Linked DNA regions of Sus scrofa. Each later gene encodes a partner of the first gene's protein in a complex. Links are inferred from orthologs where the notes say so. Each region holds a gene or a part of one and is shown in the gene's direction. Other genes may lie near its edges. The genes, in order: TCTN1, TMEM231, TMEM107, TMEM216, TMEM67 and TMEM17.

Region 1 (4,700 bases):
CTTGCACTTGAATTCATAGAAAAATACTTTCCCTGAAGTCCTTCCTATACTTCTGAATTTTAATATACTCAGCACAGCTAACCTAATGAGAAGAAGCCTGAATGTGATCTCTGTTTGTAATTTGTTTTTTTATTTTCAAACATAATGTAAAATGTCAAACAGCTCTGGATGGCATGTTCTAAAGATAGCAGTTCTTACCCTCATTTTCCCCATCCCAGAGGCAGTCCCTTTCAACTGTTATAGCTGATTTTTTGAAAATTTACCCCCAAATCTTTAGCCTACATATGAGACTACTTCTTGATTTTTTGTTTTATAACTTATTTTAATTTTTTATTAACGTAAATTGATCTACAATGTTCCAGGTGCACAGAAAAATGATTCAGTTATCCATATGTGTGTGTGTGTGTGTGAACTTGTGTGTGTATGTGTGTATATACACACACACACATACATATCTATTCTCTTTCAGATTTTTTTTCCATTATGGGTATTACAAAATACTGAATCGGAGTTTCTGTTGTGGCTCAGAGGGTTAAGAACCCGACTGGTATCCATGAGGATGCGGATTTGATCCCTGGCCTCTCTCAGTAGCTTAAGGATCTGGTGTTGCCATGAGCTGTGATGTGGGTTGCAGATGTGGCTTGGGATCTGGTATTGCTGTGGCTGTTTGGCTGTCAGCTGTCCCTCTGATTTGAACCCTAGCCTGGGAACTTCCATATGCCAAGTGTGTGGCCTTAAAAAGAAAAAAAAAAAAAAAAAAAAAAAAAATCAAACTAGTGACTGTAGTTCTCTGTGCCCTACAGTAGGTCTTTGTTGTTTATCTACTTTATTCTACTTATTTATTGAGTTCCCACTGTGGAGGGTGAAGATTTGGCTCTTTCTCCTTTGATCCCTATCCCACCACACACTGCTTCCCATCCTTATATCTCCCCAGGATATCGACATCCTTATTTTGGTTAGACCAGTATTCATCACTGACATTAATTAAAAAAGAAAAACTGCAGGTATGAACGAACAATCACCTCATTCAATTGACCTTGTTTTCCTTCCCAAAAGGCTGACCAAAACTATCACATGTCGGCTGGCAGCCCAGAAGGTGAAGAGCCTGCTGAAGGGTCAGGGCTTCCCAGATTACGTGGCCCCATTTGGAAATTCCCAGGCCCAGGATGTGCTGGACTGGGTGCCCATCCACTTCATCACCCAGACATCCCATGTGAAGGTAAAAGGGGAGAAGTTGGAAGGCCACATGCCGGTGGGTAGGGGGCACCTATTGTTGTGGGGGTGCTCTGGATAGGAGCCTGGACAATGTTGTCAGATGGACCTGGATCCTGAGTCCTGATTTTGCCCCACTGTTGCCTTTGGCCAGCAGCTGGATGGGTTTGAGCCTGTTTCCTCACCTGATAGCTCTGGTACCAACCCCATGGGCTTGTTGAGGGTTAAATGACGTGATGTTCATGGTGCCTAGAGGTTAGTCTATACATGGGAACCGCGACCAGTCGCCATCCTGTTCCTGGTTGGCGTTATACGAGGCCTCCTTTAGACATCGTGATATGATAGCTGTGTCAGGATTGTCTCAGCAAGACTCCCCCATCCACATAGCTGTCCCATCCATTGTTCCCTGGTTTATAAAAGCAGTCCACATGTGAGTGCTTTCAATTCTAAAGTTCCTGAAGGAGTTTAATGGAAGTTGACATCCTACAAATAGGTTCCGGATCACATGTGGTTCTTCTGCCCACCTTTTTCTTTTGTCTCAGCAGTCAGAGTGTGGGCCGCCGTCACTGGAGGCGTGCTCTCCATCTTATCCTTTAATTGCCCAGCTTTTGCTTGTCACAGTTGCTTCAGGCCTCTCATTATCTGCTTGGTGTATTTATAGCTCGGGGATAAAGGGGGTGAAGACTAGCTCGCTAGCTCTGATCCCGCCCTCCCCACCCGGTGCCCAGCGGAGACCTGTGATTACTCAGTCCCTGCTGTTCAGCTGCTGAGTCTTGGCTCAGCTCTGTTGCCCCATTGAACCAGGCAGGCTGCTTGGGGCTTCTCAGAGATGGGTTCAGACATCCAATTATGACCTCCCCCTCAGAAGGGAAGACAGAGTTGGCGGAGAGAGGCAGCAGGATGGACATAAGCACTGCCCAGGTCTGTGCTGGTCCAGGGAGCTCAGAGGGCCGGGAGCAGGTTCCGTACCAGCCTTCCGGGTGGAGCGGCATGAGAGTATCTGCTAGACTCAGTCCGTATCAGCTGCATCTCCTCCTAATAATATTCTCAAGGATTTTTCAGCCTGTAGATTTCTTCAAAGGCAGTTCTAAGCCAAGGAATCTCACCCGTGCCTCTTTGGCAGGCACCAAATTTAGCAGGCCTGCTAGCTTCTCATGCCCTAAAGAGATGTATCTTTAAAAACTTTTTACTGTGGGAAACTTTCTTACCTACACAGAAGTAGAACACTACAGTGGAATTCCATCTCCCACTGTACGGCTTCAACATTATCACGTTTACCAACTGAAGAAACTAAAGGCAAGAAAGAGGTCTGGAAGGCCCACTTGCCAATTTTCCCCATGGGGCAGACCAAACAAAGGTCCTAGGGCAGAGGCCTCAGGCCTGGCTCCTAGTGTCCAGCCTGCACTTGGGTAGCGCCACTGTGGCGCCAGTGCTCTCGGTTCAGATGGAGAGTTAATGTCTTTGACAACTTAAGACACTGTCTGTTTACCCTGATGTAACATCTTCATTGCCAACTGGTGAAATCAGATAAATGAGAAGAAAGCCCTTAAATTTTCTCTAAGTGCATTTTAACATGGTATGCAGTCAGGTTTTATTTCTCTCTGATAATAATACTACTTCCCACTCCCTCCCCTGTTGCCAGTTTCTCCTCTAAGGTATCTCTGTGGTGGATGTAAACAGGTAGGTGAGGTTAGAGCTCCTAAAGCCCTGGAGGTTCCACATTTAGCTATTAGAGTTACCACAACTCCCAGGTAAATGCTGGCCTCTTTAGAAATAGGAAGGGATGGAAAAATTATGCTTTAGGTGGAGCATTGAGTACTTTAAAATATGTGCTTTCTCTAAGCTGTTTTTATCTGAACTTCTAGAGTCTATTCATTCTCTTGTTCAGAACATTTTGTAATATGTGAAACATTTTATAATTAAAACTCTGAACTGCAGATTAAGTTTGACTTGAGGTTGTATAATACGTTGATTAATGGCATTTTGTTTTGCAGGATTCTTGCCAGCTCCCAGTGGCTTTGGCTATAGAAGTGAAGTGGACTAAATATGGATCCTTATTGAACCCACAGGCTAAAATAGTCAATGTAACTGCAAATCTAATTTCATCTTCTTTTTCTGAGGTAGGCCTAACTTTAAAGGTATGGGTTAAGACATGAGTCCAGACAAAACTCAGTTGTGATAGATGAAATTTATTATTTTGTAAAAAAAAAAAAAAAGAATAATTAAAATTTAAACAATCTGAATTGTTAAAACAGCTTAGCAGTCATTATCTTTTAGAGGAAAAAAATTCCACTGAACACAGTGGTTTTAGTCACATTAGCATTCTTGTTTAGATTTGAAATTTACAATTCTCATGAAAATTGAGCTGTGAATGATATTGATGTGTTAGGACAACCTGAATGACAGCTGTCTCCTCTGAGTTAATGGCTGATGAGCCCTCTGCGTGGCTACCAGATTCATGAACCGACAGCAGTTGGGTGAGGAAGGGAATGAGAGCTGTCCCACCTTTGTTATCCTGGTAACACGCTGGAAGGCAGGGCTTGCATCACTCTGACTTTTTATTACAGACCCACTTAGGAAATGAAAGGACAATTCTTATTTCTACTGCGGTTACTTTTGTGGATGTATCTGCACCTGCAGAGGCAGGCTTCAGAGCTCGGCCAACCATCAACGCCAGGCTGCCCTTTAATTTCTTCTTCCCGTTTGTTTGACGTAAGTCATTAAACAAGGAAACTACACCACGCCTGTAGACTCGAGCATGTGGGGACCCAGCGTCCCTCAGAGACACTCCACTTTATTATACTTAAAACCCTTGAGGTTGCCCCCAAACCAACACACTTCCCCTCGCCACTCACTCCCCTCCTTTCTTTTCTCCTGTTGGCAATTTCATTTTACTTGGTTTAACTTAAAAGGGGCCCCCATCTGGTCTTGGTCATTACCAGTGCTCTCAACACATAGGTCACTTGTGGAGACCAAGTTGCAACCTTGGGAAGACAGCGAAGTAATCAGACCTTGAAGTAGCGCAGGCATTGAGGGTTTATCCAGTTTATTCATCCCCTGCTTTAATGTGAGTTATTTAAAAAATATTCATTGTTTTTTAGTTCAGGTTTTCTATCTTTTCAGGTCCTGTTGAAATGAGTACAAAAATAGCAAATTATTGTATAAAATCGTGCAAACAGAGTACAAGGTCTCACGAGGGGATCTTCCTCCAAATGTCATGTTAATTACAGTGGCATCTTGGTCTAATTGCCATTTCTGTACTAGGCACTGGAGCCAGCCTGCTCTCCAGCTGGTGGGCTGGAATGGGATGCCACAGAGTGGTTCCAAGCAGTTGAAGCTGGAAAGAATATAGTAGGAGGGCCCAAGGGAAGGAGAGAGTTTATTTTGTACATTAATTGTACAGTAATTGAGAAAAATGTTGTCAGGTGGCAGAACTAGGTGGAACCAGCTAAGAGCTGGAGGATGCAGAGAGGGGGCAGGGGAGAACA
Region 2 (4,700 bases), on another chromosome or scaffold:
TATCAGGAAAGGAACGGTGAGTCCTGGCGTGAGTTTTTTCAGCTGCTTCTCAAGGACTCTCCAGATGAATGGGGGTGTGGGAAAGAAACAGAAGTGGAGCCCTTGTCATGTGAAAATATCAAAACCAGGAGTTCCCACCGTGGCGCAGTGGTTAACAAATCCGACTCGGAACCATGAGGTTACGGGTTCAATCCCTGGCCTCGCTCCGTGGGTTAAGGATCCGGCATTGCCGTGAGCTGTGGGGTAGGTCGCAGACGTGGCTCAGATCCCGCGTTGCTGTGGCTCTGGTGTAGGCCGGTGGCTACAGCTCCAATTAGATCCCTAGCCTGGGAACCTCCATATGCCGCGGGGAGCAGCCCTAGAAAAGGCAAAAAGACAAAAACAAAAAAAATCAAAACCAGTGAATGCTTAGTCGTGGGAGGTGAACAGGGTACTCAGGATTTCTCCTTTTTTCCCTCACGCCCTATCCCTCCCCTCCACTGCTCCCATGCTCCAGCAGGTTCCTGCCAATTCTCTGCCACCCTTGAGGTGCTCCCCGCACCACACGTATAAAATAAGCCAAAGACAAGCTGCTCTCCATAGTTTTCAGGTGGAAATAGGGCATGTGAGCGACTCACATGGCAGCGGCTGAAGTAGGAGCGAGCACCCAGGCTTCGGGCTGGAAGGCAGAGGGGGTCCATCCCTCACAGCGGAGGAGCTCGCAGGCCAGCCTGTGTGCTTGGCTCAGCACATCTGGCTGGTTGGTGGTCTGAGGTTTTCTCTAAAGGCATCTAAAGCGTTGCTTGGCAGCCAGACGTCATAGATACTCTTCACTGACATATACCAAGTCAGGGGACTGCAATTCCAGTATTTCCTTCTGATTTTATGTACTACACCAGCAGCATTATTCCCCAAATAAAGGGATTTTAGATCACCTTAAAAACATTTATCCACAGAAGTTCCCTGGTGGCCCAGCAGGTTAAAGATCTGGTGTTGTCCCTGCTGTGGTGCAGGTTTGATCCCTGACCTGGGAGTTTGCACATGCTGTGGGCGTGGCCAAAAAAACCCCCATTTATCTACAAGTCAACTTTTCTCTTTATGGCTTCCAGTCTTTGTCCAAACACAGGTTTTTTTTTTTATACAGCTCTTATCATAGTTTAGAGACACTTTACGATCCACCTTATTTTTGTACTTTGTAATATAAATATTTCCCCACACGGCTACAAAGTTTTAATTGGTTTTCTTTTTCGTGGTAGTATAGTATTCTTTTGCTTAGCCATTCAACAGTTGTAGAAGACACAGACTTTTCAAGTTTTTAATGTATTCTGACAAGTATTTTAACAAATAATGTGTGAGCAACTCTGCATGTTCCATTTCTCTTTCCTTTCAAATTATTTCTTGGGTGGAGGTCCCGTCATGGCTCAGTGGTTAACGAATCCGACTAGGAACCATGAGGTTGCGGGTTCGATCCCTGGCCTCGCTCACTGGGTTAAGGATCCAGTGTTGTCGTGAGCTGTGGTGTAGGTTGCAGACACGACTCGGATCCCGCATTACTGTGGCTGTGGTGTAGGCCGGCGGCTACAGCACCGATTCGACCCCTAGCCTGGGAACCTCCATATGCCGCAGGTGTGGCCCTAGAAAAAGAAAAAAAAAAAAAAAAAAGACCAAAAAAAGTTATTTCTTGGGGATGAGTTCTGCAGTGTAGAATTTGCCTGAGGTCAGATTGTTCTTATAGCCTTGACTATTTTATTGCCTAAAAGAGCATTCATGGACTAAGTCCCGATTGTATTGCAGTAACCACCATCCTGACCAACCCCAACCCCATCTGGCTGGTGGGAAGGGCTGCAGAAGCTCCATTTGTAATTAATGCTGTCATCCGATACCCTGTGGAAGTCATTTCATATCCTTTCTGGTAAAGGGCCAACAGGAGCTCGGTTTCACAAAAGAAAAGAAGGATTCCACAGTTGTCCCCAAAAGGAACAGATGTGGGAAGTCTCAGATTGGAAATTGCTGCCACTGGAGTCTCACAGATATGACTCTGTTTGTCTGCAGTTGATACAGAGAAAAAAAAAAAATTCATTTCCTGTTCCTATTTCTTTTTGAGCAGTTCTTCTAGGTCAGAAGCATCCATATTTATGTCTTAATAATCTTTTATTGTCTCTTTTATCTTAAGGGTATTTGAAACATTTTTGTCATTTTCTGTCTCAACTAAACCTCTGGTTTAACATTTACTTAGAAAATGTCATCTGTGATTCCTTAACTGTTGGTACTTATCTCCCGGGATTCTGGGAAATGATAAAGTTTGCCTGGGTCCAGTATGTCAGTATCCTGCTCATCTTCCTCTGGGTGTTTGAAAGAATCAAGAGGTTTGTGTTTCAAAATCAGGTGGTGACCACAGTCCCTGTCACAGCAGGGTCGCAGGGAGAACCATACAAGGAGCACTTATCCTAAGAAGACCCTTTCGGAAAACTCTAAGCCGGACCCTGGCTGTCTCACCATTGCCTCCCGAGACCTGCCATGTTACGAAATTTCTAAAAAGAAGCCCTGGACACTTGCCCGCCTCTGTGATTTCCCGTGTCGGAGACAAAGAACAATCCTGTCTCATTATCCTCTACACAAATGCCATATCTTCTAAGCGCCTACAAAAATAATCAGGGACTAGTTTGTGGAAACGGGCTGAGGGTTCCTGAAGGCTGTAATTTGCTTTGGTTTTTGTTTTTGGATTTTTTTTTTTTTTTTTTTTTTTTTTTTTTGCCTCAGACTTGAATGTCAGGAGAAAACCCCAGTCAGTTCAGACCTCTTGGAAAGAGTCCCATCTCTGGTCAAGCAAAGACTTTTCCTCCCTTGAACTGAGAAAAGCGCTCTGCATTTCTTTCCCCCCAGTGTCCACCACGGTTCTTACTCCTTCCAGGGCCCCCTGGTGATAGATATGCAAATCACCAGCACTTTGCCCTCCTGGGCATCGACGTTTCCCATTCAGAACTCGTTTCCAGAACTGAGAGGCCTTTAACCGGACCCCTGGAGCGAAACCGGGGAGCGCTCCGGAGCACATGTGTGCACGTGCGCCAGGGTGGGCGACTTGAGGTCACCAGGACCATCCGTCCACCTGCCCTGAGCCTAACAGACAGTCGTCTGTCAGCAGCCCAGCTCAACAGCCCTTTATCCCTGCCCTGCTGTGCCTGGCTCTCGGCCCTCCGTCTGTGCCCCTGGAATAGCGGGCTGCGGTCCGCCGGGCTGGTTCATTCACAAGCCCCTTGGCCCCGGTGGGGGAAGTAAGGAGCCTAACAACAGCTTCTTTCTCTCTGGCCCTCGCCCAACAGCCTGGACACTTGCCACTCCTTCTCCTTGACAGCCCTCCCCTTCTTGAAAAGGACACGGGGGACAGAGGCGCTGTTGTTGCTGTGGGCTCCCCCTGCCTGACAACCACAGAGTTTACTTGCAGGGCCAGCAGGACGCCCATCAGAGGGGGCCGCTTTGGGGAGGACCCCCGAGGAGCAGGGAGGGGACGAAAAGGATGCTAGCCCGGGGAGTCCAAGCCACTTAGCGGAGTGACACACAGTCCAGCCAAATTACCCTCATGACTAAGTGAGTGTCTGCAGACGAGGCCACTGGAACCAGCCTCTGTCGCCTGTGGAACAACTGACCTCGCCCTAAGGACTGCTGGACCTGCTTTGTGACACCGAGATGTCACTGGCACTGGAAGGACATGGCTTCTGTGACCTACACTTCATGCCCATCCACACACACACACACACACACACACACACACACACACACACACACTCATGGGCACATGGCATGCCTCAGTTTCCCCTGGAGACTCAGGTCTTACTTCCCAAGCACCTCTTCTTTCAGGCTGACCAAAATAAAGAGTTTTGGAAACAAAGCGCCTTTGACGTATTCACGCACAAAAACAGCTGAACCCTGGCCCCTCTGCCTTTTCTTTTAATAGTCAGGGCTGTTGTTATGCCTAAAGTTTTTTTTCCCTGAGACTTAAGTGAAAAATCATTTCTGGTTTGAATCACCAAAACGTAACGAGGTAAGGAAAGATAGCTAGAGATATGTATAAACACGGCTTTGCCTTTTATTAAGTTATTTTCAAGCAAAATGTGTACAGAGAGCCACGATGTTTTGTAACTTTCTAATTAAAATGTTCAAACTGCAAGGCTGCATGTGGCTTTTTAGAGGGCAGGCATTTGGAAAGGGGAAGGACAGGGAGGGCAGAGGCCGGACACACCTCTCCGGGTTACTCACTAGCGGCTTGCTTTGCCAGGGCTCTGCCCAAAGACCGTGGAGCTTTTGTTAGCTCTTTGGCCACAGCCTTCTGGCCCAGCCCCAAGTAAACGTGAGTTTTTGGTGGAATCCACACGGCATGTGGAAACCACAGGCTGGAAAATTACAGCTGCGTCTAGTGAATATCAAGTTATTTACAGATCCCCCCTTGCCAGCTCTGAACCTGAATCTGCACGTTGTAGGTGCCAGAGGAGGCAAAGGTGAGAAATATATAGGATTTTATCCGCTGGCTAAGTCATGGTTTGAGACAATTAATATTTGGCAGGGGAAATCCCTAATTTTGCCAAATGATTATCCCGTTTCTTTTGAATCAGGTGAGGCCCATAAAGTCCCACTTAGCTCCCATCATCTAAGATTAATAAAGTCTTCTTTTTCTTCAAGTACACGCTTAAAAAAAATTTTCCCCCATAGGTTCTAAATGCCTATAG
Region 3 (5,396 bases), on another chromosome or scaffold:
TTCCCCCCTCTTTTAGGGCCAAAGCCGCAGCATATGGAGGTTCCCAGGCTAGGGGTCGAACTGGAGCTATAGCTGCTGCCCTACACCACAGCCACAGCAACGTGAGATCCAAGCCACATCTGGTACCTACACCACACCCACTGAGCAAGGCCAGGCATCGAACCCACATCCTCATGGATACTATTCAGGTTCCTTTCTGCTTCACCACAATGGGAACTCCCCCAAACGACCCATTTTCAAAGACATTTTCCTTGACCACATTATTCTAATATTTCCCTTTAAATATTTTTTCTTTATGGTGCTATTATCATGCAGATTCATTATTTGTTTTCATATTTCATGTCAGTCTCTCTGACCCCCACAAAGGTAGAGACTTCTGTCTGTTTCTCAAGTACAAGAGCCCAGCACAGTGCCTGGGACTTACTAGCTGGTCAATGAGTATTTGTTGAATGAATGAAGAAATAAAAAATGCCTCTTGGGCTTGTCGTTTAAATCAGCCTAGAAGCATAAGATGGAGAGTATTGATAAAATTGATAAAATAAGTTGTCACACATTGAGATCTAGGGAAGACATTCTGGCTGACACATGAGTTAACCTGAATTTTATGCTAACTAAAATAGCCTCTTTGGGAGGTCCCCGTGGTGGCTCAGTGGTTAATGAACCCGACTAGTATCCATGAGGACAGTGGATACAATCCCTGGCTTCGCTCAGTGGGTTAAGGATCCAGCGTTGTCTGTGGCCTGTGGTGTCGGTTGCAGATGCGGCTCGGATCCTGTGTGGCTGTGGCGCAGCTCAGATTCAATCCTTAGCCTGGGAACTTTCATATGCCGCAGGTGCGGCCCTAAAAAGACACACACACACACACACACACACACACACACACACACACACACACACACACGAAAGCCTATTTGTGGCCTGTCAAACATTCCACATCTGCTTTAATTGTTATAGAAACAGGCACAGGAACCAGAAGAAAAGAATACCCATTGTTAAAAATAATGTGCCCTCTTCCTGGGGTGCCAGTGCTGGCACTCCCTGGATGATAAGACTCCCTTCCCAGGTGCCAAGGACATACTAACTCACTGCGTAGGTGCTGGCCTGTTCTTTTTTTTTTTTTTTCAATCTTGAAGAATTGCAGCCCCGACTTGTTTAATATTCTTTGTTCTGACAGGATATAATACAGTGCTGGAAATCATGCATCTTCTGAGCAGTTTCTAAGAGTGATATGGGAAGCAGATTCAGGGCTACTCAGTAGTTTGGCTCAAATGAAATTTTCTTCAATTCTTATTTTAGATCCTTTATTGATTATTATCATTGGCAACGGGAAGAAGAGCGATGATCCGGTAAGAGGGTAGGGAGGTCCCTGTGAGGTTGTGCATATGAGAAATGAACTCCGGCCAGAACTTTCCGTTCTGCCTGGAACCCTTTTGAGGCCCAAAGGTCAGGGAGGTCGCTGATAGTGAGAGATGCTTGGATAGTAGCTGGGCAAAGTCAAGTGCCCACGCCTCAAAGAGATAAGGAAATCCTTGCAGAGTCTGCATCGACACCCTCGCTCCTGGCCTCCCGGGGACGCAAGGTCTCATTCCCTGCCTCCACCCCCATCCCCAGCCCTTTCTGGTCCTCTTTGTTCCCTCTCTTCCCCAAACACACTTCTTGGGGCACACCCTAGTCCAAGAGAGCGGGCCACTTTCCGCGATGTGCAAATCCCTCACCAGTCTGAGCAAAGGTGTCTGGGGCGTGAGGGAGGGGGAACTAGAATCAACGAAGGTGCAGGTATGGGGTCCTCCAACGACCAGGGGCTCTGGGACAACAAGTGGCAGCCGGACAACATAGGCACATCCACCTCTCCACGTTCGGCCCAGGGCACGTGGGAGCTAAAGGAATGCGGAGGAGGGAAGGAGAGAGAGCATCCAGGCCTCAGGCACAGACAGCCGTGTCCGGAGGTTCATCCGGGACAACGCAGCAGGGGTTGGGGGTCGGGCTGCACCCGGCGTGGGCATCCGGAGAAGGGGGGGGTCCCAGGCTAGGCCCGGAGGGTTTCCGTTCGCCGGCGCTGCGCGGGCAGACTGGACGATGCAGGGCAGCGCCACCGCACACTCGGTGCTGACCGCTCGGCTGCTAGTGACCAGGCAACGGATAATCGGCCTCCCGCCGGAATCAAGTACGACGCAACCTGACTTGCAGTCCCGCGACGGCACGCAGCTGCTTGACAGTTTAATGCTCTCGCGAGATTTTCAGAGATCCGGTCGCAGCACCAGCTACCGCAGTTACCAAGGCAACTGGGCGGTGCCAGCGCGAGCGGGAAGGAGGCGAACGTCGAATTTTTGTCTGCTAGCCTAGGAGACTTGAGGACTGGCCCTCCCCGAGTTTCCAGCCCTAGAAACCCCGGCCTCTGCTCCAGGCAGTACCCCGTCCCCTGGGGGCCATGAGCCGGGTCTCGGGGCTCGTGCCCTCTCGCTTCCTGACGCTCCTGGCGCATCTGGTGGTCGTCATCACCTTATTCTGGTCCAGGGTAAGACCCACGGCCCCGCTCCGTTAGTCCACGCTCCCACCTTGGAGTGGTCCTGGCCCCACTCTACGCCTCTCCCCGGGGGCTTACCCGGTCGGGTGCTCCCCCCCCCGCCCCCACCCCGCCACCGCCGCCCCTCTCTCAACTTCTTTCTTTCTGCCCTGCTCCTCAGGACAGCAACATCCAGGCCTGCCTGCCTCTCACGTTCACCCCTGAGGAGTATGAGAAGCAGGATATTCAGTGAGCACCTGGGGCAGGGTGGTCAGAATTAAGCAGTCGTGGAAGTGAAGGGGTCTTAGAAAAAGTTCAAGAGGCCTAAGCCCACACCCTTCCTTTCTGCAGGCTGGTGGCAGCGCTTTCTGTCACCCTGGGCCTCTTTGCAGTGGAGCTGGTCGGTTTCTTCTCAGGAGTTTCCATGTTCAACAGCACCCAGAGCCTCATCTGTATCCTTTCTTCCGTGCACCTTTCCTGCACCGGCCATTTTCATCACAGCTCCTCTCCGCCACCTAACTAGGCCTTTCTGGTACATTGGTGTTTGTTCTAGTAGGCAAACAGAGTCCCTCCAGTTGAGAAATCTTCTTAGGCACTGTGGGAGATTTAATACAATCTTTGGGCATCTGTTAAGCTCCTGCTATACATCAGTCACTGGAGATCTCAAAATGGGAGTAAAACACAATTTTCTACCTTGAGGAAGAGTTAGACACAGACAGACATCTGTAATTCCGTGTGATAAGCACTGTGCCACGGGATGTGTAAAGATATGAAGCTTGTGGGGACACAGACGAGACAGAGGACGTGAGGGAGATGGATTAGGGAAGGCTTTGGTACTTGAATTGTGGTCAGGGAGGACCAGGGTGCTGGAAAGTGATTCCAGCAGAGAGTAAAAGGTCACAGAGTGCTTGGAACAGATGGGGAGGCTACTACCTCACCTGAACGGTCCAGGCTAGATATGGGGTGGGGGTTGCTTAAGGTCCCAGCTGTGCAGACTCAGCTCCTCTACTCACATGGCTGCCCTAAAACTCAGGATTCAGGGCTGCTGGCTCTGGCCTTTGCAGTGTGGTAAGAGGAGCAAGAGGTGCCCCGCTTCCTAGGATGTAAACCTGAATGTAGATGCCAGCCCCCAAACCGGCCTTTTCTGACCCATTACTACCTATTGATCCAAAGGATTTCCTTGACTCTAGTGTGTTCCAAGCCATTGGGGCTCACTGTAGTGCATCTGTGGCCCTGTCCTTTTTCATATTTGAGCGTTGGGAATGCACCACGTACTGGTACATTTTTGTCTTCTGCAGGTACGGTAGCACCCAATGTTTGGGCATGGGAAAGCAACATTAACTCTAAATCTGAAGATTTCCCTCACCCAGCTCTTTACTCCATGTATAAAATATCAGATCCACTCAACATCCTTTTTTGAAGTCCCCTCCCTCCTACATTTGGGGGTGGTATCTCTGGCTTGGGGATTTGGATTTTTTTATTGGATGAAGGGGACCCCGAAACCACCACCTATCTTCCGCAGTGCCCTCCCAGCCGTCACTGAAATAGCGTTATTCATCAGCGTCTTTGGGCTGAAAAAGAAACCTTTCTGATACCTTCATGACCGGAAGTACGGATGAAGGCTGGAAGAGCGAGGGATCGCTCACCGTTCCTGGAAGAAGGAAGTCAGAGGCTCCAGCTCTTCCTCCAAAACTGCGTCATGGAGGGTATCAGTGTAATAGTAATTATCTCTCGAGTCTGAAATTATGTGTGCTTTGCTTATAGTTCTTTGTAATAAATATATTTTTAGAATATGATCGACTTATAAAAATTTCAGATGAAAATTGGGGTGGCCAAAGTGATGGCTGTTTTCTAGGCCTGCGGACTGTAAAATAGTATATTCGCTTTTATTTTGGTTATTACGGTAGAAGTCTGGCGGGAGGGTGGGCGGGGATATGTAAATAAGGCGGTACTTACGGGTGGGACACCCGGCTGGTAAGTGAGTGGAGCATTCTGGGAGGAATTAGCTTATCCATTTTTGATAGCCAAATGGAAAAACTTATTTTAAAACATTTGGAAATAAATGTACCAAAATATACAGAAGAACCCAAGTAGGCTTAGTTGCTCGGACCAACGCAGTGTTTACTCATCCTATCTTTGAGAGGAATCTTTTTCCCAGAGTGCGGAATGTCACGCTAAACGTTCTTATCGTCAGGTAGGATAATCCTTACCTGTTCCTCCTTCGGGAGGGCAGAATGGAAAATGATGATTGGAGCTCGCATGATTCGTGATTAACGGCTCTGCGTAATCAGGACTTGCAACACCCTGATTGCTCCTATCTGATTCTTCCTGACGATCAGCGCTTTTTATCAGAGTCTTCACGGTTAGAAAGCTGTTGTTGTAGGGAAGACGTTGTACTTCCTATTTCTTGCTAGTACTTTCTTTTCAATTGTGGCTCTTGTCGCGGATGTTAGTGTAGTGCTAACTCCTCAAATCCCTTCTGCCGCGGAGCAGGCTTCCTTTTTAGTCTCAATGGCTGCAGTTTCCACCGGAAGGTTGGTCCAGGTTCTGAATCCACTCAGTAGTCTGCAGGGAACTCCCTGCTGCTGCTGCCTGGGAGGTGGTGATGACAACACGTTCAAGAGAATGCTGCTTCGCATTATATACACAGACTGCAGGAGTCTGAAGGTCGGTGTTAAAGCATGTGTATTCTCAGGGTCATGTTTAGATTCATTACTGAGTGGAATGGTGGAGCCCAGCCATCCCTGGAGATGCTTTCTGGTGATGCCTACACACAGATAATTTTATCCTAGCTCTCTGTCCCTTCTGGCAGCCTTTCATTCTTACTATCACTCAAAAAACAAAACCAAGCAAAAAACAAAAACTGAGCAATTCCTATATGCAGAGCGCTGTA
Region 4 (5,213 bases), on another chromosome or scaffold:
CCTGTGTGCTCTTTCACATGTACTGTGCTTTTTTTTAATTGGCCACACTTGTGGTGTGCATTGAACCTGAGCCACAGTAGTGACAGGCCAGGGATTGAACTTGAGCCACAGCAGTGACAACACTGTATCTTTAACCCACTGAGCTACCAGGGAATGCCACACATACTGTACTTTATTTTTGCTTTTTTAGGGCTACACCTGAGGCATATAAAAGTTCCCAGGCTAGGAGCTGAATCAGAGCCACAGCTGCCGACCTACGCCACAGCCACAGCAACTCAGGATCCAAGCCTTGTCTCTGACCTACACTGCAGCTCACGGTGATGCCGGATCTCCAACCCACTGAGCAAGGCTAGGAATGGAAGCACATCCTCATGGATAAAAGTCAAATTCGTTTCAGCTATGCCACAACAGGAACTCTCCATACTGTGCTTTTAATAAACTGCACCTGCTTCACGGTCTTGGTCACCTTGCTGAATTCTTCCCCCAAGGAAGATAAGAACCAAGGTCTCTCACTGCCGAACTCAAGCTCATTGTGTTACTCATAGGCCCTGGGTACCAGGGAACCAGGATGCCACAATGATGCTCCTGTGTTTGTTATTTCAATCTTATTGCCTATTTTTAGCACCGATGGGAGCTACTCCTTGCTGTCTATGACAGGAGTCAGCAAAATTTTACTTAAAGGGCCAGATTGTAAATATTTAAGCCTGTGAGCCATATAGTCCTAACAAGTGATGCAACGACTCAGCCTGAAAGCATGAAAGCCTATTACATGAAAGCAGATGTATTTCATGGATGTGGCTGTGTCCCCCCCAAAAAAACTGGAAGAAACAGGTCTTCAGATAGGTGTTTTGGGGAGAAGACTTTATGAACCCAATCCTGGCATCTCCTCATATCTAGAAAAGCGCTAAAATCCTTCATGGTGATGCCTGCTCCTCATGACTAGCGGGAAACTTCACCAAAGGAGAGTAACTTTCTGCTAAATTGTACCACCCCTTTCACCAAAATCACATATATACTGGCATTGCCCCCACTTTTTTGGAGCATTTTTTTTTCCAGAGCTATCTGAAATGCTGCCTCCCAGGCTATAGTCCTCACTTTGACGGCCCAAAAATTTAACTCACAATTCTCACATTGCGCATTTTTTAAAAGTCTACAAGTGTGACATCTTTTTCCTGTCCTACCCTTCCTGACAGTGGGCTAACCCCTATGTCACCCTGAGTCCATTCAAACCCCTTCTTCCTGTGATGGAACATGATGGAGGAAAATGTAAGAAAAAGAATGTATGTATATGTGTAACTGGGTCACTTTACTGTACAGCAGAAATTGACAGAACATTGTATCAACTACAATAAACAAAATTTTAAAAAAGCAAAAAACAACCCTTCTTCCTAGTCCCCTGCCCTGTGGGGTAACACATTTTTACTGCTCCAAATCATAACAAGTTTCAAAGCCCAGTTTACAGGCCATGTCTTGGAAACGTCTCCCAACCCCTACCGAGAGTACTTTGTCTTCTCAACTGCCACTGCACATTGGGGTCAAGTGCTGATTATATTTCATCTTTTGCTCTTATTTATGCTCCTTGAAAGGAGCCTCCAGTTCCGACTAACTTTGGTACCTTCTTCTTCTTCTTTTTATTTTTTTTATTTTGTTTGTCTTTTTAGTTTTTAGGGCCGCAGCCGTGGCACATGGATGTTCCCAGGCTGGGGGTCGAATTGAAGCTGTAGCTGCCAGTCTATGCCACAGCAACCTGGGATCCTGGCCACGTCTGCAACCTACACCACAGTTAACCACAGCGCTGGATCCTTAACCCACTGAGCAAGGCCAAGGATCCAACTTGCATCCTCATAGATACCAGTCAGGTTCCTTTCCGCTGAGCCACAAGGGAAACTCCAACTTTGGTATCTTCTAACTCCCTGGTACATAAATCAGATGCATAGAAAAACCCTACCCCCGCATCCCCTCCCCTCAGAAAAAGACTGTTTACACAAAGGATCCCCAAACTCCACGCCGCATTTGCAGCGCACTGTCGCGCACACTATTTCTCATTTTAAGACCCATGTTAGTAAAGAAACCATGGGACCAGGGCCTATTCACCAACTCTGATCACATTACCACTACTGGCTGCTTCGAACAATTCCTGGTAAATTTGGGATGGGGGCGGGGCGAAAACTGCCCCGCCCTCGGAGTCCTGCAGACGACATCATCTGCTTTCTTATCAGTCCTCTGCCAAAACCCCAGCGAAGTCGGTTCGCGGCCCGCGCTCCTCCCGGCGCAGGCGTGGCCGTCACAAGAGTGCCCCCGGCCCCAGGTAACCATCGAGTGCAGCAGGCGGATAGAAGGGCCCGAATCCAGGGCCGCTCCGTCCCTCGCTTCCGGCAACGCCTCGCTGCTCCAGGAGTGCTGTAGCCGCGTATGCAGTTTCCATGGGGACTGAAGATGGCGCCGCGAGGTGAGGTTCTGGAGGTGTGTGAGTTGCTGGTCCTGATCCCTTCAGTTTCCCCCCCCACCCCGCCCTCCTCTCCCAGCGTCGACCTGAACCCTCCATTCTCCTCACTTGTCCACAGCAGGGTTTAGCAGCCTCACCTACCCTGAGTGCCAGAAGGTCTCGAGATGTGGGTCTCAAATACCCCCAAATCCTTGGCTCAGCCTGTTCTAGGCCGGCTCAATAGGAATTTGCAGCGTGGCTTCACACTGGCCAGTGCTGTCTCTGGGTCCCAGTTTTCCTTCCTAAATAGCGACGAGGTTAGATCCCTGACTTTCACCCCCAAAGCCGAAGCGGTAGAGTTTGATGGCGATTCTGGAAAGGAGGAGATTGAAGGAAACACACACACACACTCACTCCTCATCAGCAAACAGAAGTGCCCCCAGGGACCCTTTCTGTCAGCTGAAACCCCTCCACACTCCGTACGCACACGCGCGTGCACACACACACACACACACACCACACAGACACCTTCTCATCAACAATCAGAAGTGCCGCCAGTGGCCCTTTCCACCAGCTGCGGCCTCCTGTTTCCTCCAAGTTAGACACAGAACCATTCAAATAACTGGGGTTGAGCTGCCTGCCCTCCAGCCCGTCTCTTTTCTCTGTGCTCCTATTTTCAGGTAAACGGTTATCTTCCACCCCCCTGGAAATCCTCTTCTTTCTGAACGGGTGGTATTATGCTACCTATTTCCTGCTGGAACTCTTCATATTTCTGTATAAAGGTAAGGTCTGGGGTTTAACTACCCTTTCCCCAACATCCCTTCCCCACTTCAGCCCAGAGCCAGCTCCCACCCAAAGCCTTATTTTTTCATTCTTTTCTGCTCCCCTGCAGCTCTTCTTCACTGCAAGGTCTCTTCATCAGATGGCTTCCTTGAGAATGATTCAGTAGGAAGCCACTCAGCAAGAATTTCTTGAGTTTGGGAAATGGGGGCTTCTCCCTTCTGACTCTCCCCTGTCACCTCTCTTTGCTGAACTCCACTTTAAGCCCATTGGTGACCCTCAGAAGCTATTCAGCGCCGTATATCCGTGTACATCTGATCTGATAACTGGAGAGTGGCGTCCCCACAGAATCTTTTTTTTTTTTAAGGTTTTATTGAAGTATAGTGATTGCAACTATAAATTGATTTGCAATGTTGCGATAATTTCTGCTGTACAACAGAGTGATTCATTTACACATATCCACATCTCCATTCCTTTCCAGATTCTTTTCCCATGTAGGTTATCACAGAATACTGAGTAGAGTTCCCTGTGCTATAAATAGCAGGTCCCCACTGACCACCCATCCATTCCATATGCAGTAGAGCCCCACAGACTCTTGGAGTTAGGAGTAAAAGCCCATAATTACGAGCCTGCCTCTAACAGACATAGCCGCACCATGAGTTAACGGATCCTGCCCGTATCTCAGTAAGTAGCTCATGGGAAGAGAACATGATAAGACTCATGTTCTCTTTATTCCCAAGTGAGTGGGAGACCTTGTGTGTGCTGTTCGACGTTGTTTGCAAACTCTGGCTTTTGTATCGCAGGTCTCCTGCTACCATATCCAACAGCCAATCTGGTCCTGGATGTGGTGATGCTCTTCCTTTATCTTGGCATTGAAGCAATTCGACTGTTTTTTGGTGAGTGTTGTCCAGAGGCTATTTCCATTCCTTGCGAGATGAGCTGGTATCTGTAACTTGATGAACAAAGAAAAGCACTTAACCTTGGCTCACAATGAGAGAGTGGATCTGGTGGCATATCCCGTTACACCCTCTCTGAAGTTTCAGGCGGCTTCATACTTGGGGTCAAGACTTACCTGTCTATTGCTCTGTTGCGCCACAGGTGGGTGGCGGCATGAGATATTAGATCATTCCTTCCCGATTATCTAACTACAGGAGTGCCTGGTTCCTCTCACTGGTTTCTTGGGAGAAGAGATTTCGTTGTAACTCCATGTCCAGGGCAGTAGATCAGCAATAAGGTCCCCTCCGGTTCTCTGAAAAAGGATTTCTCTAGGACAAGTTTACATCCCCGGAGGTACAGAGCAATCCCTCATGAGTTACCTCATCCCTGAAAACGGTGTTAAAACATACACTGAGGGAAAAAAATAACTTCAACAAAAAGAGGTTCACATAAAGAACTAAGAAAAAGATAACCTCGTTTTAAAAATTAGCAAGGGAGGAGTTCCCTTTGTGGCTCAGCAGGTTAAGAACCCAACTAGTATCCATGAGGATACGGGCTCAATTCCCGGCCCCGCTCAGTGGGTTAAGGATCCAGTGTTGCCGTGAGCTGTGGTGTAGGTCGCAGACATGGCTCAGATCCTGTGTGGCTGTGGCTGTGGCTGGTAGCTGCAGCTTCTCCATTTCAGCCCCTAGCCTGGGGACCTCCATATGCCGTGGGTGTGGCCCTAAAAAAAAGTGCACTGGGAGTTTCTGTTGTGGCTCAATGGCAATGTGCCTGACTAGTATCCATGAGGTTGTGGGTTCGATCCCTGCTCTTGCTCAGTGGGTTAAGGATCTGGTGTTGCCGTGAGCTGTGGTGTGGGTCGCAGACGTGGCTCAGATCCCGCATTGCTATGGCTCTGGTGTAGGCCAGAGGCTACAGCTCCCTAGCTGCGAAACTCCATATGCAGCGGGATCGGCCCAAGAAATGGCAAAAAAAAAGAAGAATCACAAAGGACCAGTAAACATTATAAAATGCCCAAACTCACTAATAAAAAGCAAATTGGAAAAACAAGGTGACATTTTTACCCATC
Region 5 (4,700 bases), on another chromosome or scaffold:
AACGTTGATGAGAGAAAGCACATAAATTCCAAAGTGTTTTTTCCTTTAGATTGCTTTGGGTGTGTTGGGTGGACTAGCTGTTTTGTCATCTCTCTTGAAGACAGCAGGGTGGAAGAGACGCATTGGAAGTCCCATGATTGATTTACAGGTATGACTGCAGGAATTTTTAAAGTGTATTTTTTATCTTCTATTTCATATTCTTCTAAGAAGACCCAGCTAGAAAATGGGTAAAAAGTTGCCTCAAGTTTCTCTGGGTGGTAATTAGGAGAGGTGTATGTTCGTTTCTCTCCCACATTGCTGTAGGCCTGTCTACACCCACCAATCCTTGTGGTTTTCTCACAGCCTCACCAGTCCTTGTGGTTTTTCCAGTCTTTCCATTTTTTGCCAATCTGGTGGGATAGGTGGTATGTCATTGTTGATTTAATTTTCATTTCTCTGATTACTTTTCATATGCTTTGCTAATCATTTGAGTTTCTCCTTCTGTGAACTTCCTATTTATATCACTTGCCCATTTTTCTATTAAATTTCCAGTTTTTCTTTCTTTTTTTTTTTTTTTTTTTTTTTTTTTTTTGCTTTTTGGGCCACACCCGTGGCATAAGGAAGTTCCCAGGCTGAGGGTCTAATCAGAGCTGCAGCTGCTGGCCTACACCACAGCCACAGCAACACGGGCTCTGAGCCGAACCTCAACCTGCTGAGCAAGGCCAGGGATCAAACCCACATCCTCATGGCTACTAGCCAGGTTCTTAACCTGCTGAGCCATGACGGGAACTCCCAAGTTTCCAGTTTTTCTTGTTTATTTAAACATGTTTTTTTACTTTACTTATTTTAAGGAGTTTTTAAATATTTTCTGAATATGAATCCCCTTTTGGTTTTTGATGTTGAAATTTCTTCTCCACGGGGGATTTATTTGTTATTTTATGTATGTGTTACTTTGTTTAACAGAAACTCTTTATTTTATTTTATTTATTTATTTAGTTTTAACCTTTTTTTTTTTTCTCTCTTTTTTTTTTTTTGTAGGGCTGCACCCATGGCATAGGGATGTTCCCAGGCTAAGGATCCAATCAGAGCTACAGCTGCTGACCTACATCACAGCCACAGCAACGCAGGATCCGAGCCGTGTCTGTGACCTATACCATAGCTTACAGCAGTGCCAGATCTTTAACCCACCAATCGAAGTGAGGGATTGAACCCGAAACCTCACGGTTCCTAGCTGGTTGCATTTCCACTGCGCCATGATGGGTACTCCTGAAACTCTTGATTTTAATATTGTACTTCTGACTAGGTTTTCATATTATGGTATGTGCTTTTAGGATCATGTTAAGAAAACTCCCTCTTGGAATTCCCATCATGGCGCAGTGGAAACGAATCCAACTAGGTTGTGGGTTTGATCCCTGGACTCACTCAGTGGGTTAAGGATCTGGCATTGCTGTGAGCTGTGGTATAGGTCACAGACGTGGCTCAGATCCTGTGTTGCTGTGGCTGTGGCTGTGGCTGTGGCTGTGGCTGGTAGCTGTAGCTCTCATTCAACCCTTAGCCTGGGAACCTCCATATGTCTCAAGTGCAGCCCTAAAAAGTAAAAAAAAAGAAGAAGAAAACTCCCCCATCTCAAGATCAAAAAGATACTCTCCCATGTTTTATTCTATTAACTTTATGGTTTCATTTCTCATCTAATCCTTTTTAATATTTGGGGTTTTTTTTGTTTTTTCTTTTTTTCTTTTTAGGGCTGCACTTGCTACATATGGAGATTCCCAGGCTGGGAGTCAAATCAGTGCTCTAGCTGCCTGCCTACACCACAGCCATAGCAACTTGGGATCTGAGCCACATCAGCGACCTGCACCACAGCTCATGGCAACGTCGGATCCTTAACCTATTGAGGGAGGCCAGGGATTGAACCTGCATCCTCGTGGATACTAGTCAGATTTGTTTCTGCTTAGCCATGACAGGAACTCCTCATTTAATATTTATAGCAACAAAGTAAGAGGTGGTTATTTTCATTTAGCAGATTAAGAACATAAAGGCAAGGCAGTACACTTATTTGTACTGTGATGTCTTCCTGACTCCAGAGCTAAAGTGCCAAGGAATCAGAGAAGAGGGGCTTGATAAAGGCTTCCCAGAGAAGTGAACTTTCTGCTGGGTTATCTGTGCAGTCTACAAATAGTCTCTGATGGCCTATGCCCAGCACGCCAGGATCTCTACCAGGCTCTGGGGATGTGATAGTGAACAAAGAGAGACACGTTCTCTGCCCTCAGAGCTCACTAGAGTTTGCCAGAAAGAAGAAGGGAATAATATTTGATGAGACAATGCCCATAATAATCCTCAAAACATTTTGCTTGAAGGTATGGAGTGGTCAGTTGTTGATTAAGCAGTTGGAACTGGCAGATAATGCTAAAACTTTAATTTTGGTTTAGGTTGTGGAGGACCCTTTGGGTCAGGAATTTACATTTTAGTGAGGAGTCACTATATGTTTTTAAGAATGAGAGTGATGCAAATTAAATTTATATTTTTGGGAGCCAACTCTGGTAGTAATAATATGGAGGATAGATTGGGGAGAAGGGTTCCAGACTAGAAGAAAATTAGGAAGCGGTTTATAACTTTTCAGATGGTGAAAGATGAGAAGGGTTGACTAAGACAGAGGCTGTTGAGAATGGATCGAAAGGTTGGGACCCTAAAGGCTACTAGGAAGTGGCTGCAGTTGTCTTTCTAACTGATCCATGGATACATGAAACAAAGCTTCAAGCTTGAGAAACTTGGTTGATAATGTGTTACTAAAGGTAATAGTATAAATAGATTGAGTCTATTATAGCTGTAATTCTCTTTTCTAATTGCAGACCGTTATGAAATTCTTGTTTTACTATGCCGGTGATCTGGCCAATGTTTTCTTTACCATCACTTTGGGAACTGGTCTTTACTGGCTTATCTTCTTCAAAGTAAGTGATTTTCTGAATTTAACCTTAAGTGCCAATACCTAAATAACTGCTAAGCTCTTTTTAGAAAGGAACTATTTTTATTTGGGGGTATTTCTTTCTTTCTTTTTTTTTTTTTTTTTTGGCTTTTGTTTTTTATCTTTTTAGGGCTACACCCGTGGCATATGGAGGTTCCCAGGCTAGGCGTCTAATTGGAGCTGTTACTGCCAGCCTACGTCAGAGCCACAGCAACGCCAGATCCAAGCCACATCTGTGACCTACACCACAGCTCACGGCAACGTCTGATCCTTAACCCACTGATCGAGGCCAGGGATCAAATCCTCAACCTCACGGTTCCTAGTTGGATTCATTTCCCCTGCGCCACAATGGGAACTCCTATTTGAAGGTATTTCTGTTAAGAGTATTGAGGCAAGTTGCTAAACTCACCATTCCCTGAGTGTCCTGTGTTTATCAAGTGCATCACCACCTTCATCCTTTATGCTTTCTTGTTATCAATAGTGTTAGTAAAAATATTGTATGATCATATTTAGTGGCATAATTTTTATCACAGGCACAGATGTCTGTCTCTGTTTTGCTACCAACGCCGGCTCAAGAAAAACGTTTTGTTACTTACGTGGGATGTGCTTTTGCTCTGAAGGTAAGTTTCTTTTTCTTTCTTTTTTTTTTTAATTTTTTTATTTTTTCCATTATAGCTGGTGTACAGTGATCTGTCAGTTTTCTACTATACAGCAAAGTGATCCAGTCACACATACATATACACATTCTTTTTCTCACATTATCCTCCATCATGCTCCATCATAAGTGACTAGATATAGTTCCCAGTGCTATACAGCAGGATCTCATTGTTGGAAGGTGAATTTCAAAGCACAGATCCCTGAATTTAAAAGGCCTGCTAATAAACACTTAAGTCTTTAACATGAAAATGCTTTCAAAACCTTTAGTGTAAAATTTAGTCTAATTTTGGAAGAAAACACGTATTCTATTTTACTAGGAAGTCTACTTTTATTTATAATAAATAACTCATTCTGAAAATCTGCCTTTAAAATTTTTTAATTATTTAATTTAATCTGTTAGTTGAGAGTAGAAGGTACCATGCTGACAAAGTGCTCAACTCTCCACATTAGTTCTCTCTGCTTCCATATTCCTTTCCTCCTCTTTCCATGGCAACCCCTTTCCCTACTTGACTGTTGTGTCAATGGACGGGAAGCTCCTTAATGTGCCCCTGTGGTGGATCTCATCCAGTTGTGGTTGTTAAGAGCCTGCTGTCCCCACTGATCTGTGAGCTTCATGAAGAGAGGAATCATCCCATACTTAGATTTTTATCCTTTGTTTGATCAGTAACGCTCCAACTAGGACAGTGCCTCAGTTTAAATGTATTCCATACATGAAAAATGTGTTTTTAATCAGAACTGTCAATACCAGAAATAGAAAAAATTAATTACGGTAAGCAAATTATAGTTGAAAATACCTTTACTTATAAAGAAGTTATGTGATCTAGAAAACAAAACATGCTTTTGGAAGCCATGAGAAAGAGTCTGCGCAAGATTCCTGTGTGAGGGGAAGGCAGTGTGTCTCCTTTCATATCCCCATTTCAGAGAAACACAGAAGAAGGAACGGTGAATCAATATGTGTATAAAAATCCTGTGAACTTAGTGATTCCATGCTATTTGATGAGCTTCCGGTGATTCCAAATGATGTTGTAGCCTTATCACTTGCGAAAATTACATATTCTTGTGCTTACAGCATGTTTGTTTCTTAAAGCATCAGAGTTTGTTT
Region 6 (5,217 bases), on another chromosome or scaffold:
TAGAGATAAGTTCAACAAAAATACATACATATGTTCACAAAAAGACATATATTCACCAAAAGCGGCACTATGCACAATAGCTCCAAACTAGAAAATACACAGATGCTCATCAACAGTAGATTGCACAAACTTACTGTGGTGTGGTCACACCGCAAGGAAAGAGGGCAAAAAGTCAGCTTTTATTTTTTTTTTCTTTTTTTAAAGCACTTGCTGTATGATTACTTTTATATAAAGAATAAAAATAGGCAAAACTATTCTATGGTATTAGAAGTCAGGAAAGGTTAGTTAGAAGTGGAGGGTTAGTGACTGCAAGGAAATAGGAAGGGAGAGCTTCTGAGGGTACTGGTAAAGTTAAGTTTCTTTTTTTTTTTTTCTTTTTCTTTGCTTTTTAGGGCCACACCCATGGCATATGGAGGCTCCCAGGCTAGGAGTCCAATCCGAGCTACAGCTGAAGGCCTATGCCACAGCAACACAGGATCCAAGCCGCATCTGCAACCAACACCACAGCTCAAGGCAACACCAGATCCTAAGCAAGGCCAGGAATTGAACCCGCAACCTCGTGGTTCCTAGTGGGATTTGTTTCCACTGTGCCACAACTGAAACTCCAAAGTTACATTTCTTGATCTGGGTTCTTGTTACACCTGTATATTCAGTTTGTACACTTTTCTGTACATAATTGTACCTAACCAGTTTGTCTGTTTGTTTGTTTGTCTGTCTGTCTGAAACGATACATCTTATTTGAGGGAAAGCTAGAAAAATACTAAGTGGTTAAATTTTTTTTTCTTTTTATAGCAACACCTGTGACATATGGAAGTTTCCTGGCTAGGGGTCTAATTGGAGCTGCAGCTGCAGGCCTATGCCACAGCAACTCCGGATCTCTAACCAACCAAGGCCAGGGTCCCAACCCACATCCTCACAGAGACTATGTTGGGTTCTTAAACCCCCGAGCCACAACAGGAATTCCTATTTTAAATTTTTTAAATCACCCACAATCACTATCTAGACATTACTACTAACATTTTGGATTATTTTCTTCTAGTCTTCTTTTGAAGCCACAGTGCTTGTGCCATCTTCTCCCCCTCTCTGCTCCCCATATATTTACACACACACATTTTACTAAATTAGGTTCATTCCTACTTAGTTTTACTTCTGGTTTTTTTTAATTTAAAGTTAACCCATCATTAAATATTCATTGCAAACATGCTTTTAAACTGCTTCAATGTATTTCACCCAATATATATGTGTATCGTATATATATGCTATGTATATATATATAATATTCCTAATATATAACGTATTCCTATAAGAGAGTATGTATGTGTATACATACATATGTGTCTGTATACATACGGCATGCATATATTAAAAAATATTCCTAGGATGTAATAATATCACACACACACACACACACACACACACACACACACACACACACAAGCTACTGGGTCATGAACAGTCTGTTAACTCAGCATTCATTCTATATTTTCTCCCAGAAAGATTGTATCCCACTGGCAAGGTCTTAGAGCTCCTTGTATCACAATCCAACTCTAGTCACTAATTATTATTTTTATTCCTTTTTTAAAATGGTGGCCGTTAAAGCAGGACTTAGGAATCTGCGGTTTGGCATCATGCTGAGGCGCTGGGCAGGAACTGGCTCCCTGCACTCCTCTATCTTCCAGGGCTGCCTGGCGCCTCAGCCCGCAGCGGGGCCGCGCGTGCGCCCCAGCCCCCAGCCTCGCGCGGCCCGGTTGCTGTGGGAACCTCAAAGCGCCACGGTGCCCGAAGACCCAGGTGGGAGCAGTACTGAGGCCTGAGCATGGAGCTGCCGGATCCGGTCCGCCAGCGGCTGGGAAACTTCAGCCGGACCGTGTTCAGCGACTCCAACCGGACCGGGCCGGAGTATAGCGAGGGTCCGGGTGAGTGGCCGAGGCTCAGCGCAGCGCGTGGAGCGGCCAGATTTTGCCCAGACCAAAGATGGCGGTTTCGTCTTCAGAGAGTTCACCGCAGTGCGGGAGGCTCCTTGGAGGAGGGGCTGGGCCTGGGGCTGGGGCTAGGACCAGATATTCGGGGCCAAATACCCAGGCGGTCTTCGGCTGATGGTGCTGTAGCCTCGCGGGCGAATTGCAAGAGGGGCGGCCGACGTGGCGCCAGCCTTCCTCAAAAAATACAAGAACAAAACCCGCCTTCGCATTCCGCGTCCAGTCCCGCGCCCTCCGAGAAGGCTGAGAAGGCCGACTTTGCTTTTCCTCTGCGGCATCCGCCCTGGCATATTATGTCCAGGATGGAGTGAAAACAGCCCAGGCAATCTCCCCGTCCCACCCCACCCCCAACCCCAGTAAAATATCTTTTCCTTTTTTTCTTTTCTACCAGAACAAGTATGTTCCACCACAAGTCCGTTTTCTGGCAGAAAGCATGAAAAGTTTTTGTTTTTGTTTTAATGAACTATTTTAAACGCTATCCAATTCAGAGTGGCAGCTGCCACACTAGCATCGTCTCCAACAAAACTCACCCTCTCCCTGCTTTCTTCTCCTTCCCTATATATAACTCTTGCCCTAAATCAAGTAACAGAATACCATGATGCTACATTCAACATGACAAGTGACAACGCAGTTTCCTGCAGTTTCCCCCTCTTAAATCATGATGATAGACAACATACTGTGAACCAAACCCGTGCGCTTTTTATCACTGAACTGTGCTGGGAAATAGAAATCTTTTCCTTTTGCTTGGTTTAGGGATTTTTTTTTTTTTTTTTTTTTTTTTTTTAAGGAGGCAGAGAGAAGTCTGTTCCCATAGTTTCATTTTCCACGCTGATTACTAGCCTGTCCCTCCAATTTAAGCCTCCATGATTTAGGATGTACAGAGAAAAACATAATGTGAAAAAAAAATTGACTTTTACATTTCTGATTCTAAAGCTTAACAGGCACTAAAATCTGATGATGTAAAGTATCAGGGGTTTTCTGTAAAGGGCCAGATAGTAAATATTTGAGACCTTGCAGGCCATAGATGCATGTAGCAGCCATAGATGATGGTAATTGAATGGACTTGGCAGTGTTCCAATAAAACTTTATTTATGGATGCTAAAATTTGAATTTCCTATGATTTTCAGTGTCGCAAAATATTATTCTTTGATATTTTTTCTCAGCCATTTAAAAATGTGAAAAAACCATTTTTAGCTCACTTGCTATACAAAAACAGGCAGCTGGCTGGTAGTCTGCCTACCCCTGATTTATACTATAAAATGTTTTAATTTAAATTCCATTTATAGAACTCAACTTGTACTTTTGCAAAATTTAGTAAATTCATGTCTTGTGCTTGCTTTCAAAGTTCATTTACATATTAACTTGATTTTCAACTGCATGATTATAAGTTTGATCTCTGAAATATAGACATAGCATAACTCTTAAGAGGCTTGTGTACAAAATTCTTAACATAATAACTTCTTTGCAAAATTTGACTACAGTGTTTGCTCTAAAGTTATTAAAATTTTCAGCTTAACTAATTTATCATATTTTTCCACATTTTCCTCTTTGTGGATCTGAAATAGGTTCGATTATTTGTACTGTAAATACAAGGGTATATTATGACCTTGTCCACAGCTGACCAAGAGTTGTATGGTTGTTATGAAAAAAAATCCTAGGCAGGTGAGTTATCTTCAGATTTAACAGATTTTAAGAATGCATGCCTTGATCAGTGGCAATTTAATCAATAAGTACAAGCAAAAGTAGATCATAATCACACAATGTTTAAAAAGTAGATCATAATAACGAGGGATATTCTTGGAGCTAAAGAAAACCTTGCTATGAGAGACTGTGATTATTTTACATTTTAAAATTGTTAAATGATAGATATAAAATACTCAGCTATAGAGAAAAATAAAAATATACTTTTAAGAAATTTTAGAGCCTTCAGCAGTTAACGAACCCAACTAGGGTCCATGAGGATGCGGGTTCTATCCCTGGCCTCGCTCAGTGGATTAAGGATCTAGTGTTGCCATGAGCTGTGGGGTAGGTCCCAGACTCGATCAGATCCCGAGTTGCTGTGTCTGTGGTGTAGGCCAGTGGCTATAGCTCCGATTTGATCCCTAGCATGAGAACTTCCTATGGCAGCCCTAAAAAAAAAAAAAAAAAAATTTAGTCTTTGTAAATCCATTCTTTTAGAACTGTGGATTTCAAAGTATGTTATCTGTTCTTAAATTGTTAGAATTTTTAGTCAAATTTAGGATGCATTTGTAGGGCTCATTTGTTTCTAATTTATAAAGTCTTTTTATATTTTTTCCTTTTTAAAAAAACAAAGGATAGTTGATTTAGAGTGTTGTGCCAAATTTCTGCTGTATAGCAAAGTGACCCAGTCATATATATATATATACACATATATATAAATATATATACATATATACACACACACACACACACACACACACATTCCTTTTCATATCTTCCATCATGGTCTATCCCTAGAGACCAGATATATTTCCCTGTGCAATACAGTAGGACCTCATTGCTTATCCATTAAAAATCCAATGTACTATCAGTTGTGCCACAGAGCTGCCTTGTAGGGGGGCTCAATTTTAAAAATCAAATTCTTGGAGTTTCCATTGTGGCACAGTGGAAACGAATCCCACTAGGAACTATGATGTTATGGGTTCAATCCCTGGCCTTGCTCAGTGGGTTAAGGATCTGGAGTTGTTGTGAGCTGTGATGTAGGTCACAGATGCTGCTCGGATCTGGCGTCGCTGTGGTGTAGACTGGCAGCTGCAGCTATAATCAACTTTAGATAAATGAAACTCATTCATGTATCATGAATGGCTGTACTGCTAATGTCCTTAATTCTTTCTACTTATTTGTATTTGGTCTTTACCTTGTGTAAAGCAAGATGCTATGTTCTGTGAGGGTCTCAAATTTGAGTATATTGTGGTCTGTGGTTACAGTGAGTTTGTGTATAAGTCAACAAAGAGAAGGAATTAGGAGACTAATATTTATTGAGTGCCTACTGAGGGCCAGGCAGGGTTCTATAGTGAAGTAATTTCTATTATCTTTAATCCTCACAAACAACCTGTGAGGTGATTTTAATATTACCATTTTACAGATAAAGAAATTAAGGCTCAAAGAGTCCTAAAATGGCATCCAGAGTTCTGAGGGCATTTGGGGAGTTCTGGGTTTACTTGGACTCCAAAGCCTCAGTATGCCTGAAAAAGGGTGAGTTTAATTATAACTTAGG

The links.
Region 2: TCTN1 (region 1) and TMEM231 share a complex: the UniProt entries of both Homo sapiens proteins name them as parts of the tectonic-like complex. The link is inferred for Sus scrofa from reciprocal best matches to the Homo sapiens genes TCTN1 and TMEM231.
Region 3: TCTN1 (region 1) and TMEM107 share a complex: the UniProt entries of both Homo sapiens proteins name them as parts of the tectonic-like complex. The link is inferred for Sus scrofa from reciprocal best matches to the Homo sapiens genes TCTN1 and TMEM107.
Region 4: TCTN1 (region 1) and TMEM216 share a complex: the UniProt entries of both Homo sapiens proteins name them as parts of the tectonic-like complex. The link is inferred for Sus scrofa from reciprocal best matches to the Homo sapiens genes TCTN1 and TMEM216.
Region 5: TCTN1 (region 1) and TMEM67 share a complex: the UniProt entries of both Homo sapiens proteins name them as parts of the tectonic-like complex. The link is inferred for Sus scrofa from reciprocal best matches to the Homo sapiens genes TCTN1 and TMEM67.
Region 6: TCTN1 (region 1) and TMEM17 share a complex: the UniProt entries of both Homo sapiens proteins name them as parts of the tectonic-like complex. The link is inferred for Sus scrofa from reciprocal best matches to the Homo sapiens genes TCTN1 and TMEM17.

Annotation. Positions count from the first base shown.
Region 1 is NC_010456.5:32,003,456-32,008,155, forward strand, and holds part of TCTN1 (tectonic-1), read left to right. Parts: intron 1-1,056; coding exon 1,057-1,219; intron 1,220-3,206; coding exon 3,207-3,332; intron 3,333-3,381; exon of another isoform or gene 3,382-3,779; coding exon 3,780-3,923; 3' UTR 3,924-4,700. UniProt on the Homo sapiens protein: Component of the tectonic-like complex, a complex localized at the transition zone of primary cilia and acting as a barrier that prevents diffusion of transmembrane proteins between the cilia and plasma membranes.
Region 2 is NC_010448.4:12,160,000-12,164,699, forward strand, and holds the end of TMEM231 (transmembrane protein 231), read left to right. Parts: coding exon 1-16; intron 17-1,773; coding exon 1,774-1,879; intron 1,880-2,249; coding exon 2,250-2,430; 3' UTR 2,431-3,895; downstream 3,896-4,700. UniProt on the Homo sapiens protein: Transmembrane component of the tectonic-like complex, a complex localized at the transition zone of primary cilia and acting as a barrier that prevents diffusion of transmembrane proteins between the cilia and plasma membranes.
Region 3 is NC_010454.4:53,393,953-53,399,348, reverse strand, and holds TMEM107 (transmembrane protein 107), read left to right. Parts: upstream 1-2,284; 5' UTR 2,285-2,428; coding exon 2,429-2,515; intron 2,516-2,684; coding exon 2,685-2,752; intron 2,753-2,854; coding exon 2,855-2,955; intron 2,956-3,704; coding exon 3,705-3,801; intron 3,802-4,025; coding exon 4,026-4,095; 3' UTR 4,096-4,849; downstream 4,850-5,396. UniProt on the Homo sapiens protein: Plays a role in cilia formation and embryonic patterning. Requires for normal Sonic hedgehog (Shh) signaling in the neural tube and acts in combination with GLI2 and GLI3 to pattern ventral and intermediate neuronal cell types.
Region 4 is NC_010444.4:10,118,837-10,124,049, reverse strand, and holds the start of TMEM216 (transmembrane protein 216), read left to right. Parts: upstream 1-1,789; 5' UTR 1,790-2,412; coding exon 2,413-2,449; exon of another isoform or gene 2,450-2,463; intron 2,464-3,105; coding exon 3,106-3,207; intron 3,208-3,783; exon of another isoform or gene 3,784-3,889; intron 3,890-4,008; coding exon 4,009-4,101; intron 4,102-5,213. UniProt on the Homo sapiens protein: Part of the tectonic-like complex which is required for tissue-specific ciliogenesis and may regulate ciliary membrane composition.
Region 5 is NC_010446.5:42,896,036-42,900,735, reverse strand, and holds part of TMEM67 (meckelin), read left to right. Parts: intron 1-49; coding exon 50-148; intron 149-2,828; coding exon 2,829-2,927; intron 2,928-3,474; coding exon 3,475-3,561; intron 3,562-4,700. UniProt on the Homo sapiens protein: Required for ciliary structure and function. Part of the tectonic-like complex which is required for tissue-specific ciliogenesis and may regulate ciliary membrane composition.
Region 6 is NC_010445.4:79,414,007-79,419,223, forward strand, and holds the start of TMEM17 (transmembrane protein 17), read left to right. Parts: upstream 1-1,760; 5' UTR 1,761-1,816; coding exon 1,817-1,916; intron 1,917-5,217. UniProt on the Homo sapiens protein: Transmembrane component of the tectonic-like complex, a complex localized at the transition zone of primary cilia and acting as a barrier that prevents diffusion of transmembrane proteins between the cilia and plasma membranes.